Anolis sagrei: one gene and its partner. The protein of the gene in region 2 interacts with the protein of the main gene of each other region in a biochemical or structural test. Links are inferred from orthologs where the notes say so. Each region holds a gene or a part of one and is shown on either strand. Other genes may lie near its edges.

What was found.
Region 1: the proteins of TNNI1 (region 2) and TNNC1 are reported together in a solved structure, tested with the Homo sapiens proteins (2 studies listed by BioGRID, with this or other methods). The link is inferred for Anolis sagrei from reciprocal best matches to the Homo sapiens genes TNNI1 and TNNC1.

The regions. Positions count from the first base shown.
Region 1 is NC_090022.1:68,380,938-68,388,879, forward strand, and holds the start of TNNC1 (troponin C, slow skeletal and cardiac muscles), read left to right. Parts: upstream 1-4,656; 5' UTR 4,657-4,801; coding exon 4,802-4,825; intron 4,826-7,942. Other genes in the region: NISCH (nischarin), read right to left, coding at 353-439. UniProt on the Homo sapiens protein: Troponin is the central regulatory protein of striated muscle contraction. Tn consists of three components: Tn-I which is the inhibitor of actomyosin ATPase, Tn-T which contains the binding site for tropomyosin and Tn-C.
Region 2 is NC_090024.1:204,278,059-204,286,793, reverse strand, and holds the start of TNNI1 (troponin I, slow skeletal muscle), read left to right. Parts: upstream 1-5,258; 5' UTR 5,259-5,280; intron 5,281-5,390; 5' UTR 5,391-5,432; intron 5,433-5,553; 5' UTR 5,554-5,559; coding exon 5,560-5,685; intron 5,686-7,665; coding exon 7,666-7,755; intron 7,756-8,735. UniProt on the Homo sapiens protein: Troponin I is the inhibitory subunit of troponin, the thin filament regulatory complex which confers calcium-sensitivity to striated muscle actomyosin ATPase activity.

The DNA.
Region 1 (7,942 bases), on a different chromosome or scaffold from region 2:
ACCTCTTGTTTCATGGAATAATCCCTCCCAGTTCTCCAAGCCTTGTCTTCTCCAAGCTAAACACAGCCAGCTCCCTCAGCAGTTCCTGGTAGGGCTTGGCTTCCCAACATTAGCCCTGTCAATACCTTTCTTGGACTGAGGTGCCCAGAACTAGACACAGCCTGATCCCAGCTGAGGTCTGACCCAAGCAGAAAGGAGTGGGACTCTGACTTCCTTGGGGATGGAGCACCTCACAGAAAGTGATGGAAGCAGCAGTGGAAGTGCCTCCCCTCCTCGGGGGAACTCCCTCCCTCCCTCCCTCCCTCCCTCCCTCAGGAAAGCCCCTCCGCGGCCTCCTCCTCCTCCTCCTCACCGTGTAGTTCTCCACCAGCTCGGAGCCGAGGACGCGGGCGACTTTGGGGGGTTCCTCGCCTTCCTCGCCGGCCCCCATCACCTCCATGGCGACCACCACAGCTGGGAAGAGGAGGAAAGGCCGCTTGGAAGGGGAGGTGGTGTGGGAAGCTCTCACTCGGCCGCTCTTGTTGTTGTTGTTGTTGTTGTGGCGGCCCTTGCGCCGCCTCCCTCAGCAGTGGCCTCTGCCAGCTCAGCCAGGGCTGTCACCGCCGCCATCTTTGATTCCCCCCTCCCCCTCACGCCCAGTAGAGTCGCTGAGAGAAAGGACAAGCCCCGCCCTCGGTCGCTAACACTCCTTTTCTGCGCTTGCGCAGAAGGAGGAGGAAACGCGAAAACCTCGGCCTCGAGGGGGCGGGGCTGAGCTTTGGAGGCGGGGCTAAACGAACACAGGATGGGCCATACCATCGGAATTGGGAAGGGGTATTTTTTTATTATTACTTATGGGTCGTGACCGCCCATTCTTATGCAGGGCTCGCTTAACGTTTACGGCGAACCCCCCTCTCAACAGATGGAAGCGGCACCTGGAAAATAAACAATGTGGAGAGGGAGCTTTTGGAAAATCTTGCTCCGCCCACAGCAAGTCCTTGAGTGACAAAGGCTGCTCCTACTTCACTGTAGAATTGACGCAGTTTGAGACCACTTTCATAGAATCATAGAATCAAAGAGTTGGAAGAGACCTCATGGGCCATCCAGTCCAACCCCCTGCCAAGAAGCAGGAATATTGCATTCAAAGTACCCCTGACAGATGGCCATCTAGCCTCTGTTTAAAAACCTCCAAAGATGGAGCCTCCACCACACGCCAGGGCAGAGAGTTCCACTGCTGAACAGCTCTCACAGTCAGGAAGTTCTTCCTCATGTTCAGATGGAATCTCCTTTCTTGTAGTTTGAAGCCATTGTTCCATTGTGTCCTAGTCTCCAAGGAAGCAGAAAACAAGCTTGCTTCCTCCTACCTGTGGCTTCCTCTCACATATTTATACATGGCTATCATATCTCCTCTCAGCCTTCTCTTATTTAGGGTAAACATGCCCAGCTCCTTAAGCCACTCCTCATAGGGCATGTTCTCCAGACGCTTGATCATTTTAGTCGCCGTCCTCTGGACACATTCCAGCTTGTCATTAACTGCCATGGCTCAATCCTAGGGAATCCTGGGGGTGGGAATTGATCTTGAGAACAACAAAACATCACTCAGAAGACAAGGGAAACAGGGCCAGTTAACTCCTCCCAACAAAGGATTCCCCCAGGCAGGAGGCAGCTAGGCTTTGAAGCTGCAAGGCCATTTGAAAGGAGTGCAAAGAAAGGCTTAGTACATTTAACTCAAATTTGTTATTTATTTATTTATTTATTGTGTCATCAGCAACCAGACATTTGTATTACATTTTTTAACAAAAACAAACAAACAGACAAAACACAGAATTAGCAAGGTTTGGTATTTGATTAAATGTCCTTTGACCAGCAGCTGGTCACTTGGAGTGCCTCTGGTGTTGCCGCAAGGAAGTCCTCCATTGTGCATTGGGGGACATGAGAGAAGCCTCCTCGCAGGATTGCAAGACATCCGGGTGTCCCCTGGGCAATGTCTTCGTAGACGGCTGATTCTCTCGCTCCAGAAGCGACTTGCAACATACTTGAATTTGTTAAAGGCAGAATAAACTTCAAATCGCTGCCATCATTGAAAGTACTATGCTACCTTCGTGACCGTACGTCGTTCCAAGTACCAACCCGGGCCCTTCGTTCCTCAGGGGAGGTCCTCCTTTCGCCTCTACCAATCTCACAAGCTCGTCTTGTGGGCACAAGGGAGAGAGCCTTCTCTTCTGTGGCCCCCTGACTTTGGAACTCTTTACCTGGGGAGATCAGGAAAGCCCCTTCACCGGAAACATTTAAAAAGAACCTCAAAACCTGGCTTTTGCACTGTGCCTTTGGCGAATAGGTGCACAGCATTATATTTTACACCTCAACGTTTTTGGCTAATGGAGTTTGTGACCTCCAAATAGGATGTTCTGTCCCACAGCTCTGTGTTTTATGAGTTCCATTTAAATGTCCTGCTCCTATTTTATCTCATCATAGTTGGTTAATGGTTTGTTATTTGGAAAATGTGACCTGTCCATTGTCATCTCTATCGTGATTGTGTCTATTGGACTGTTTATTATTATTATTATTAATGTCATTTTGATAATGTTGTTGTTGTCTGTTGTATATGCTTTGGTTTTATTGCTGTATTATGTTGTCTGGGCTTGGCCCCATGTAAGCCGCTCCGAGTCCCCATCGGGGAGATGGTGGCGGGGTAGAAATAAAGATTATTATTATTATTATTATTATTATTATTATTATGCTGTTTGCCAGAACATTAACTTTTGATTCTTGCATATAATGTTTTGTTTTCTCAGGGAAGAAGCTCCTGCTGTTGTTATCCAGGATTTTTTTTCAAGTCAGGAGCAACTTGAGAAACTGCAAGTTGCTTCTGGTGTGAGCGAACTGGCCATCTGCAAGGACATTGCCCAGGGGACACCCAGATGTTTCTCCCATGTCCCCACATGAGGGGCTGGAGCTGACAGACAGGAGCACTCCACGCTGCCTGGATTTGAACCTCTAACCTTTTGGTCAGTAGTCCTGTCGGCACAAGGGTTTAACTCATTGTTCCACTGGGGGCTCTGTTATCCAGGAGAAAACAGGGCTAATATATTTCCTCCAGTATTTCAACTCTCCTATACATCTTTGGTATAATATTTAAGCTATATAGGTTATTGTACAGCACAGTAGCAACTATCTCTAGCACCAATCTACTACCACTATCCAGACCATTCTGTGATCCTTTTTTTGTTAGTGTATGAATATCAGAATGCATTTAAAATGGATTATCCTACCCAAAAAGTAAGAAAATCCGCAATGTAGCCCCTGAAGGGATATTTATTTTATTTTAGGTGCAGAATGTATCATACGAGTTCTCTATATCACATTAGTGCAAATGCAAGGTGAGGAAAAACCTATTTGGAGCAGAAAGAGAGTTAACATTTTAAAAATGATTTATTATTGGTCTTAAGTTAGTCCTCCCTGTTTGAAGAAAAGAGAAGAATTGCTCAATATAAATAAACAAGGGAAAAAATTCACAATGAATGCTGGCAAGAAAATTTTTGCAGTTCTAAAAAATGGGGTAATTTCCCCAATATCTGGCATGTACAAGGCTAATTTTAAATACACATACATATTTGACACATAAATACCTGACTTCATTATAATTTGGCCAGCTTTCCTAAGTTGCTTGCAACTCAGTTGGACAGAGGAGGGAGCTCTGATCAATGGAGAGAGATAAATCCTGTTTTGTGATATGGAACATACTTTCAGTAGGAATGCTTCTGCCTGAATGATGCAAAAGTGTAGGTCAGTGCAGTTGTTTTGTCCAGGTTAGAACATCAACCGCATCACAATGATGCTTGTAGGAAAAAAGATAGTAAGAATAAGTTCAGAAATTTATACAATCCAATGTGAAGACATCATTTCAAGACGTATTTTTGGAAACATTTCCAGGCTTGTGCTCATCTCCCTGAAGAATTAGATGTTACAATGAGTTGATGAATACGTCAAGCAAACTGCTAAAAGCAGCCTGAGGAATATCTATTGAATGGGGGATTCTGCCTCTCAGGGCCCTTTCACATAAATATATTAACCCAGAATATCAAGGCAGAAAATCCCACAATATCTGCTTTGAACTGGGTTATCTGAGTTCACACTACCATATATTCCAGTTCAAAGCAGATAATCTGGGATTTTATTCAGCTGTGTGGAGGGTCCTTGGCTACTACATGGTTTGAAGCATAGGCCCATGTTCCTGCCGTAAGGGTCTGTGGTTCTCATGCAGAATCTTGGAAAGTGTTTCTTAAAAAGGACGGTTCCTTCAGTAGGATCTTTTTATATTCCCGGTGGTCAAAAATTAGTTGTGCATTCTTCACCATCTGCCCTGGTTTTGCTATGACTTGGTCATGTGGATGGATGATGGGAACAACAGAACTCAGGCAGCAGAGGTGGACCATGAGATCATGTATCATCTGAATCCTGGAATAAGCATCAATGAAGGATCAGGTTTTCCTTCAGTTCTGTGTCTACTGAAGTGAAAACAGAGCTATCAGTGGAATTGGGAACTGGCTTTAGAAATGTCAGCTGTAACAAACTTCACATACCTCCCCTGAAGACAGGGTGAAAAGTCATGCCTGGAATGGATAGCATGGCCTTTTGTGGGTGTCTCTAAGCTGTGCGGAGCAGTGATCAGCCCTTCTTGATGGACACATTTAGGGCTGACAGCCTGCTATATAAGCAGAGCTTCTAAGGAGAGAAAGCTGGCAGAGACTGGGAATTTGTCTCTGTACAGTTTGCCATCTAAGCCCAGCTCCTGAGTCTTCCTGACCAACAATAAATAATTATGGATGATATTTATAAAGCAGCTGTAAGTAAGATTTTCATATGTAATAATACATTGGGACTTATCTCTAGCTAAGCATGTTTAGGACTGCATTTTGCCTCCTGACAAGAGAACAGGGTGATAATGTTCAGTCTGATGTCACAAATATTATGCAGTGATGATCACGTATTATGTGGTTAAATGTAGTAACAGAACTTTTGACAAGTGTTTTATTTGGTGCAGAGGTTTCTTATACAGCATAGCATATAAATGGGTTGCATGATTACTTTAATCAAATCTACTGTCTCAAGTTTTTTAAAGTTCAGGTTTGTTCTATAGCCCAATCCTGTACAAGGACAGATGTGCTGGAGCTTATTATTTTGAAGGGCTTAAGCCTGCTTTAATTCTGCATAGGATTTAGCTTTTAAATGTACTATATTGCATGTGAATTATTGCAGCCATTACATTAAATATTTGACAGCACATCATCTGGGGAGCTGGGGGAGCTCCTGTTTGTCAGCTCCCGCTTCTCATGCGGGGACATGAGGGAAGCCTACCATAGGATGCTAACACATCCGGGTGTCCCCTGAGCAACGTCCTTGCAGGTGGCCAATTCTCTCACACCAGAAGTGACTTGCAGTTCCCAAGTTGCTCCTGACACGGAAAAAAAAACTTTGTAAAAAGCCAATTATAATTTAATGTGTTATAAAGTCACATTTGAAGTATATGTATACTCAAAGGGAAAGGACTTTAAATCCTAATTGCTAGAAGTTGAAATATAAACCAAACTGAGTCTAGTTTTAAAAGTAGGTAAGGAGTCACTAGAGAAATGTATGGAAGTAATTAAAAAAAAAACCCTCATTTCATTGTGAATGGAAGAACAATCCAAGCTATTTTTAGAGACTAATCGAGTTTGGGTTCTTCGGTGGTTAATCCTGTTATTGAGAAACCTTAGTAAAACAGATTGAAGAAGAATGATTCCTGCATATCAGAGTGAGGGATAAGCTCCCAGAGTGGATTTTAACATCTGGTATGGCTTGTAAATAATCCACCAAAGCAAAGTTGTATTTGGGCTATGGACACACAGTAGTTTAAATAGTGGAAGATTACATTTCAAGGAATATCTGAGATAACACATTTAAACTCACAAATTGCCTGATATTGATTTACATACATTGAGATCCCATAGTGGGGGTGGGTTAGGGGGTAGATAGTAGAGTGAGGTTAGAATCCATATCTCCTCCCTGCATCAGTGGCCCAATCCACAATAGGCTATTAGTTGCTGACTTGCAAATAGAAATATGATGGTCCTGGCTGTCTGAAAAACCATGCTGGAGTCTCGTCTACACTGCCCTATAATGCAGTTTGAAATTGTATTATATGATCAGTGTGGACTCATATAATGCAATTTTCCCATATTTTATAGATTTTTTTTAAAAAAAAACTTACAATGCAATTGTGTTTTATCACAATCTGTCTAAATGTGTTTGCATGTACGAAAGGTTTTTCAAAAGTTGCTTCTCTTCTTTCTTTATGTCTTCACTACTTTTTATTATTATTCACTGCTCTCAAATTGCACCCCAGGCTACTACCATGCCCATGGCTTTTTCCAGCCCTGCGCCCCCTCCCCCTTTATAGGAAAAAATCACCCACTGGAGGAATCACTGCTCTAGAGCGCACCATTATACTTTGTAAATTATTTTACTGTATGTTTATTCCATATTTTCCCTAAGGAGTTGAGGGTACTTCATTTAACCCTCAAAGGTCTTTGTCACATAGGTTTAGTCCCCTTTCTCACAGCTGTATAAAATCCATATTGAACTAGATTATATGGCAATGTGGACTCAGATAACACAGTTCAAAGCAGATATTGTCGATTATCTGCTTTGGTATTCTGGGTTATATGACTGTGTGAAAGGGCTCTCAGCTGACTGGCTTAGCATGCCAAAGGTCACCTAAAAAAGAGGTTTATGGCTAAAGGACGATTTCAAACCAGATTTCTCCTTTCCAAGTCAATGTTGTTAGTTGGGTTGCTGTGAGCTTTCTGGTCTGTATGGCCATGTTCCAGAAGCATTCTCTTCTGGCATTTTGCCCACATCTATGACAGGCATCCTCAGAGGTTGTGAGGTCTGTTGGAAATAGGCAAGAAACACTCAGGGTGAGCTAACACCTCCCAATAAAGGATTCCCCCAGGCAGGATGCAGCCAGATTTTGAAGCTGCAAGGTCATTCAGTGCTAATTAATGTTGCCAACTGCAACATTCTGCCTGAAACAGACAAGAGTTCCTTCTCCCACCCTGGACATTCCACAGATATATAAATCTCATTTGTCCTAGTTTCCAACAGACCTCACAACCTCTGGAGATGCCTACCACAGATGTGGGTGAAATGTCAGGAGAAAATGCTTCTGGAACATGGCCATATAGCCTGGAAAACTCAAAGCAATTCAGCGTTTCCGGCCATGAAAGCCTTCGACAACACAATGTTGTTAGTGTTTTCACATAATTTCTGACTTATGTTGATCCAACCATAGAGTTTTCATGTCAGAATTTATATTCAGAGGAGGTTTGCCTTTGCCTTCTTCTAAGGCTGAGAGGGTATGACTTGCCCTTCATGGCTGAGCTGAGATTTTAACCCTGGTCTCCAGCATCATAGTCCAACACTTCAGTCATTATACCACGCTAGATCCCAGACTTGTCAATGCCTCTGACACCTTACCCACAAAAGAAAGAACATTATGTTATGCATGACTTTTATTGCAGAGTTGATTGCACATTTAAATGTGTAATGAATAATATACCCAATCATTTCTAAATACAACCATTCATTTGGACCAGAGGAATCCAGTTGATTTCTCACCTTGCCCACTGACATCTTATACACAGAGCTAAGTTTAGAACAGTGTCCAGATGCTAGTACGGAGAACATGGCCAGGGATGTGTGTCTAGATAAAAGTCTCCAGGGATAAATACCCATGTCAATCATGTTGGGGGAACAATTGGGCATGTTATCTTTCTTACCCTTACTCGCACCCCAGCCACTCACTAGTGCATAAAAATAGCCAGCATGCCAAAATAGTCAAGTTATGTGCGACACAAACAGAAGTGACAAGAAGCATTTGTTCACTGCCTTCAGAGTTTCCAGCTATCCTGGATTGCCAAAG
Region 2 (8,735 bases):
CCAAACATTGGGAGGTGGGGTAGGGTATTTTTTTTTACTATTTATCTTGATCCAAATGTATCAATGAAAAGAAAAGAACTTGAATGTGAAAATGGAGGCTCCAAAAGCAGTTGTAAGCAATGTGCATTTGGGATGTGGCTAAATCCATGTGGAAAAGTAGCTGAAGCATGGATATATATTGATATTCACCCAATTGTTTACATTTTTGTTTCGTTACATGCTTCTTGTGGCGAACATCCTTTTTAGGCTAGTAGTATTTAGAGAGAGAAATGGTTTGACAGTGAGAGAGAGCGTGAGTAATGCTCCATCTGGATCTTGTGTCTGTATTCATGTACCTGTTCCTTCTACTTGTCTGCCATGTAATTGAATGCTTCAACTTGATACAGCATCATAAATGTTTGAAAAGAGCCAGAACATATTATCATGTCTCTCTATCATATATGGAACACTTATAATTTTTCTGTCTTTCTAGAGCATAGCTGAACTTGTATAACAATAAGGCCGAGTGCTATTTAAAAGACAAATCCAAAGTTATATACTCATAGAAGTGTAATATTATATGAGCCATGAAATTGCAAAACTCACAGGCAATGAAATCCAAAACCAAGGGCATCAGAGAAATCAGGGTAGACAGATGCAAAGCTATTTGCAACAGAACAGACAATCCAATATAATGGGTGTTCATTAGGAAATCAGCCTCACTGCGTTTAGCAGTACACAGACAATGGCTGTAGCTGTGGTGGCTTCATTGTCAGTGAATCAGCAAATCTGCTTGGGGATTTAGTCCATACAAGCAGTCGCTGTGTCATAAACATCATAGATAAGTATTGGGTGAAACAACAGGAAGTGAGAGATATCTGCCCCTAGAAAGGGAAATTCACTCCTGAAAGAGCCCTCACACAGTTGGTATACTCACTTTAGTATAGGCAGTTCTCGAGTTACCAACATCCTACTTACATATGTCTCCTAACTATAAACGGGGGCAAGATACCAGGAAGTGAAAGGAAATCTATCTTTAGGACGGGAAATTCACCCCTGAAAGAGTTATCATGGAGAAAAGGTGTTTCCATGGAGGCTTTCTTATCGATCCTTGTTTCTATAACAAATAAGCCAAACATTTCAAAATCCAACTGTCACAGGAACCGAAAGAGAAGTGGAATCTTCTGAACAGGGGCACAGATAGCAAAACAAACATTATAGGGGTGTTAAACCTTCCCTATGCTATCCAGTGTCTGTCTGTCTGTCTGTCTGTCTGTCTGTCTATCTATCTATCTAAAAAATTGGCTGGAGGTACACTTTAAAATGTACCTGTTCTGACTTGCATACAAATTCATCTTAAGAACAAACCTACAGAACCTATCTTGTTAGTAATTTGGGGGAGTGCCTGTATTTCCAATGAGCTTTGCAAGGTGGTGAATCTTTCTGGGGGGAGGAAGATTAAGTTTAGCATCTTAGAAAATTTCTTTAAATGTTTAATTAAAACACAGAATGGATGCACATGGAAGCTGCCTCTAAGATAAACTTATAAAAATCTTAAGAATCTAGATGAAGCTTTCATGGGCTGATACAGAATAATCAGGGTTTCGGATACTAAATGCAAAGCATCCAATTTAAAGCACAATTGATAATTTATTTATTTGGTTTTAATTAGAAATATATTCCCATAGGCTTAGAGGAGAGATACAATTATCACAGATGTTCACTGTCATAATAATTTTAAGTATCATGAGTAACATATTTGTTATTTGTTATTATCATTATTGAAGTAGGAGGGCTGCCAACATTTGTTTTTGAGAAATGTACTGGGTGAAGAGTAATGATTATTCCAGTTCTGCCTTTTCTAAATCTGGAATGTTCAACTTCATGATTTGCATCTTTTTAAAAAAAACATTTAAAGGTCTTTGCTTCCCCCCCCCCCTATTTATAGGCACACAATTTCTTGCCACGATGCCTGAACCGTAAGTAACAGATTTTTTCCCTTGCATTATTCTTTGTTTGGTTTTTTTTTTTTTTGGGGGGGGGGGGGGTTCATGTCCTACAAGTTTGGTCAGCATGAATTTTAGAGTAAACATCTGAATTTTATCATAGGGATCTCATGCGTGTCATCTAGCAGAGCTAGTTGTTATACCTGTCACAGGGGTGCTGCTGAAATTAGCAGTCCTATATTTGCATTTTCTTCCTTTCCTTCCCCCTTGTTTAGAAAGGGGGATCATGCAGTCCTCCAGAGCTTGGCAGCTCAGACAGCCACTCAATGTGAAGAATATTGGAAATTATAATCCAGCAATGTATTAGGGGATCCACATTACAGTTGGCTTTCCACATTTGCTAGTTTGACTTTTGTGGATTTGGGTAATCAGATTTGATGAAATGTTCTCCCTAAGAATCTCGAGCTCCTCCAGTGTGACTCTGTGACCAATGTCTGCCAAAAGAATTCTGGAGAAGTTGATCATAGTGGTGTGCTGGATGATCTAGAGCAGTGGTTCCCAGCCTGTGGGCCTAAAATAAATTCCGTGGCTCTAGATGATTATTTATTTATTTATTTACAACATTTCTACCCTGCTCTTCCCACCCCCGCAGGGGGACTCAGAGCAGCTAACAATGGCACAATTTGATGCCGCAATAATTACAATTATAATAGCAAAATAAAATCATACAATAGATTAAAACAAACATTAGTTATACAATCATTTTCTGTGGATGAGCAGATGGTGACTACTTGATGGCATATGTTCTGTATCAGAAACTAGAACTGATGTGGTCTAGCCAATGCAATTTTCTGAATCAGCACCCCAAATAACAAACTGAATCTAAAGTTGACTAAAAACTGATTTGTAACCCTTTTGGTACTAATGTTGGAGAGTGGTCTCTGGTCAAAGTGGTCCCTGGTCAAGTGGTCACTGGTCAAATAAAGGTTGGGAACCATTGATCTAGAGATTCCCAGACAAGTGTTCTTTCCCATAAAAATAGTAATTTTTTTTATGCTTTCTGCGTCATTAGCCCAAGTGAATGTGAAGGGCTTACTGTATTTCTGCCCCTGGCCTTGGGTCACAGGAGTGGGAAAGCTGTACAGATTAATTTCAGCTAGCCTGTCCAATGGTAAGGTCTGGTTGGAATTGTACTTCAACCAACCAACCTCTGGAGAATCACAGGTTTCTCATGGCTTGATTTTTTTTAAAAATCTGCAATACTTAGCATCCTCCATCCAGCACCACCAGGTCTACATAGAATTTTAGAAAGATGTTTCTTCAACATTAATCATTGCCTATTCTCTCTGTTTCACCACAGACTATGCTCAGAGGCCATTGCCAAAAAAAGCTACTATCCCCTTGACACGCTAACTGGGGATTTTGGGAGTAGTTGTCTGAAATAGTAGATGTTCTGAGCTTTGAGAGTTCACAAATATTCACAAATGAAAATGATTAGGAGAAAATTTTGAGAACAAAATAGTTTCAGCTTTAGTCATAAATCTGTTCCACAAATCAACCACGAGATGGCAGAGTGGAACCTATGATTTCAAGCAGAGTGACTTTCTGAACTACAACTACCTAAATTGCCCAGCCAAGTCAGGGAGGGCAATGCAAATGAACAACAACAACAACAACTTTATATTCTGCACTATCTCCCCAAGGGGACTCAGGGCAAATTCCAACAAACAAAAAAGGCAAACATTAATGTCTTGATACAACCATAGATACACATACAATAACAAACCAGCCAAATCCCAAAATAAACCAATATTCTAAGACCAAATTATAGCATACAACCAATAATTAAATAATAACATGACCTCTCAATTAAATTATATCTAACAAAAAAATCACCAAAGGTTTTTTATTCATCAGTAACTTTTCTTAACTCTGTAAAAACACAGTTCTTACATTTTTTACCATGGGAGTTTGTAAAAGTAAATAGCTTTTTCTCCATGCACTCCCCTGGATAGAAGACAGAGAGTCCATAACCAACATTGTTGTAATACTGGCATCTCAAGCATCAACAACTCACCTGTGATCCCACCTGGAGATGTAGGATCATGAAGCCCATAATACATAATTCCTGGGGTTTGAGATTAACTGTGAAAATTAAGGTCAACATTCTACTCTGAGTTCCATCATTCAAAATATGAATTATGCTTCCATGTTATTGAAATCCTCCTGAGAATGTGTGATGGCAGGGCCAGTCCTACCTTTAGGCAGATTGATTCATCTCAGGCAGCAGATGCTAGTGGGTGGCAGCAAAAAGGAGAAAAATGCTGCACATCACAGGGCTTGCAAGGTGCCCCTAAAATAGCCAGTACCCACAGGCAGGGAAATGTCTTGAGCTGACCCTTTTGTGAAGTTTTAGGTTGAAAATTAGCAGAATTGTAGGGAAATTTTGAACAACATTCAAGTACATATAGTGTCTTCCCACCGATGTTATTTCTCTCAGTTGTTATTGGCTACAGCATCTAAACACCTCCTTCGCATTTCTGTCAATTACATGGAGCAGAATGGATTTTGCATTAGGAAGTGACAGAATTCTGTGTTTATGCCCTTTCAATGCTTACCCACTCCTGCTAACACTCCTGAATCCTAATTTACCAAATTGCAGTAGAGGGCAGTTAGAAAAAAATAGCCAATATATTCCAAAGAGATGCTGCCCCCACAGCATTGTGGGTTGTTGCAATGGTAGGTCACAGCTGACCATTACACATCAATAGTGTTTATATTGTTCTCTGCTGACAGCTACTGATACTGGAGTGAAACACTAGAGGTTACTACTATGATAGGAATATCCTAATATCTACATAACTCTGAGGTTGAAAGTGAATTTTTGAGCTTGAGACCAGCAGGGTAATAAAATTAAAAAGAAAAGCATGCAGAGGAGCAGTATCATTTTTGAGAAAGCAAAACACCAGGATATTCCGTGAATTTTCAGTCATGTTTGAGGCATGTGGTGATGAGCACCATCAATCTACTTTAACCAGGAGAAATAATGGCTGATGTTAATAATGGGGTTTACAGGTCATATTATCTACCAATGACTGGTTGTTATGGGGTACTACATTTTACTGATGGGCTTCATAAATACCCAGCAAACCACAGGACCAAGTAGTGAGATTAAGAAAGATAATTACATATGCAATATTAAGACCAATGTGGAATATGGGTGTGGTATGATCACTCTTTCACAGTAGATCAATTTAATTCCACTTTTACAGAGAACTGTATTTTGCGTATTCATTCTGTTTATTTCATTTTCTCCTATTTTTATTATTTCTTCCAAACCAACATCTAAAGAGAGGTAAGAGCAGTTCCTATATTCTTTTTTCTTAAAAGTGATTTCAGTGTGGCTATGAAATTTGTAAGAGCTTTGTGTCTAACGTGCATTCTATATTTATTTTTGCTTCTTAGAGGAAATCCAAGATCACAGCCTCACGCAAACTCCTTCTAAAGGTGAGGCAATTCAGACTTCTTGCTTTGCCAAAGCAGTTCCAATAAACCAGCTACCATTTGACATTGTTAAAATGAGCTGCCAGAAAGGCTGTTTATAAATGTTTTGGCCTCTTTTTTCCAGAGTTTGATGCTGGCTAAAGCCAAAGAAGAATGGGAACAAGAGCAAGTAGATAAACAAGGAGAGAAGGAGAGATACTTGGCTGAGAGGATCACTCCTTTGAGAACTAGCGGACTTTCATTTGCCCAGCTCCAGGTAGAGTTTTGGTTTTGGGAAGACAATATCAGTTTCATAAGACTTCCAGAACATCATAGAAGTCCTAAAGAACTAAAGCAAGAGATTTAGTTCAGATCTCCAATAAGCCCTGTTTCTTTTGTCTTTCAAGAGACAGGCAAGAAGTCTAGTAAGCCTCATATTTGTGAAGCTATTTGCTGAATTAGAGTTTAGAGGAAATGGTGGCTGATGGACACATCAATGAGTCCACTTGAAATTCAAGTAGAATGAGTCTACTTGAATTTTTAAGGTCTGAATAAAACCCAGAGTGGGTTCAACACTTCACTAATATTTGTTTTAATTTAATTTAATTTAATTTATATATTTCCTCCAACTGGTACCTTGGATGGCTCATAATATGAATGCAAAGCAAAGTTCATAGTTTAAAAATGAATGACAAAAATGTTTAACAAATACTCAAATAAACTATCATATTAAAACATCAATAAAGAAATATAATATTTTTAAACTACAGCACATTCACTTCATTAAAGACTTTTCCACATAGCCACTTTGGGCTCATCCAGAAAGCTGGTGAGACACAGAAGTCTCTGGATGTATCAAGGTATTCAAGTTCACAAAGAGAAAGGAACATGCATTTTCTGCTGCCCCAAAGGGGTTTTAAGTCACAGAAAGAGTAGATTTTGATCCAACATTTGAAGTAACTTATTAGACAATGGGAGTGGTTTAGCAATGCAACCCATTATCTAATTTAGTGGGTCCCCAGATGTTTTGGCTTTCAACTCCCAGAAATCCTAACAGCTGGTAAACTGGCTGGGATTTCTGGAAGTTGTAGGCCAAAACACCTGGGGACCCACAGGTTGAGAACCACTGATCTAGTTTGTGGAATCTCCTTCTCTGGATATCTTCAAAAAGTGGCTGGACAACTACACTAGCTAGTGATCCTTCTAAGACTTCTCTAACACAAAGATTCAATGATTCTATAATTAAATATTATTCTTCTCTTTTCTAATGTCTATGTAACTGTATCTAATAGGTAAATGCTGTCCAGTGCCCATGTATCTATTAATTGTATGACAGTTTCATATGGAAGCCTTTATTGTTTGATTAAGTCAGCTTGATGATGGATCCTGATCTCTCATAGAGCAGGGGTGTAGCTACATTAGACAGGGTAGGGAAGTGACTCACTCCATGATCTTGGCACCCACACTGCTTCCAGTCTCTTTCCTCCCTTGCTATATCCACACTGCAAAATATAGCAGCTTGGCACCACACTAACTAATGGCTCAATACTATGGAATTCTGAGGTTTTTCGTATTGTGAGATATTTATCTTTCTCTGTCAGAGAGATCTACAAACTACAAATCCCAGAATACTATAGGATGGAATCATGGCAGTTAAACTGGTGTCAAACTGCTACAACTCTGCAGCATGGATGGTCTGTTAGCTAGAGCTCCTGATTTTGGTCCTCCCCTAGTGCTGCTCTTCCACCTTCTCAGAGCTCCTCTTCTTCTACCTTCTTCATTCCATATTGCATCCCTTGGCGGCTGTGCACCATTGTTGTTTGTTCATCGCCCCTAGGTATTAAGTTATATTTTTGCATGGAGACTGGTGATTGCTTGGCAAGAAAAGCACTTGGGCTCCAAGAAGTACACACTGACTTGTTAAAATATAAATATTGGCTATTGCTAATGTAAGAGCTAGAGGTTATCTTTCTATTGCTGATTTATTAATCTGTCAAGTAAACGTTTGAAGCATGAGAACACATCACAAACTCCAAGATATGAGAGCACTTTGTCAATGCACTTATTGTAGTAGAGCACATTTACATCACTTCTAATGTAGACAGTTTTGCTCCACCCCAATTTAATCAGTAGATAGTTTCTCCATATTTTTCCCCAGAGAAAGGAAAACAAATGGCATTTTTGACTGGCAGCAATCTAGAAAAAGAATGGCCTATAGAAGATACCCACTGTCCAGTTTTTTGTTTAAATTATCTAGGACCTATGCAGGGAGCTTCATGAGAAGGTGGACATTGTGGATGAAGAGAGATACGACATTGAAGCAAAATGCAACCACAACACACGGGAGGTAAGAAGAAGACAAAACAAAATGTTTGAACGAATTTATCCAGTTTACAATCTGAGTTTATTTTTTTTAAAGTGTGCATGTACCTTTCATTTTCCTGCTACTGAGATAAAACATTCATTTTCTTCGAAAATTACATTCCAGTAAATCATACAGCTTAAAATGTGTAGCTTTGAAAATGTGAACAAGGAGAGCCTTCTCAGTGTTTACTCCCAGGCTTTAGAATTCCCTTTCTTGAGAAAATTAGCCTTTTGTTTCAACAGCCTTTGATATCTAATTGCTTAGAAGAGAAGGGCCTTTCATAATGTTCTGCGTTGTCTATATTTGTCTTTTTGTAATGGTCATGCTTTTAACCACATGAATTTCTATTTATGGTTTAATTATATTTTAAAGTGTTATCATGGTGTTCATTTATTTAGCTGTTATTTCTTTTAACTTTTATAAGCTACCTTGTGTCCTGAATTGTGGAAAAAGCTGGTTATAATATAGTACCACTGGTGATGATGGTGAGGATGATACGTTATAGAGTGGAGACAGTAGTGAAATCACCCAAAGTATGGGTGATTAACCACACTTCTCAAACCATCTTTTTCTGGCATAAATGAAGGTGATTAACTTTTCTTAGAAGCCCCCAGAGGTAGGGATTCACCTTTTAAATACAGTAAGACTCCTGTAACTCACAGAACCCATATCCAGACTTTCACTTATCTGTGCCTGGTGGAAAATGGTATGTTTATACACTTTAGGTCCTTTAGGTCTGGTAATTTTAGAGATCCTCTGGTTCTAAAATTACCACAGAGTTGTGATGGAGAAGCTAGCAAATTCCTAGAAAATATACCCTGTAAGAATCTCTCGGCCCACCAACACAATGCTGGAAGTGAAGCAATTTAATGGTGCTTAATTTTAACTGTAGTCTAATATAACTTTGGTCAGGCTGTAAATGTATTCTCCATGAATATAGGCGGTCTTATTATAGGTCTAAT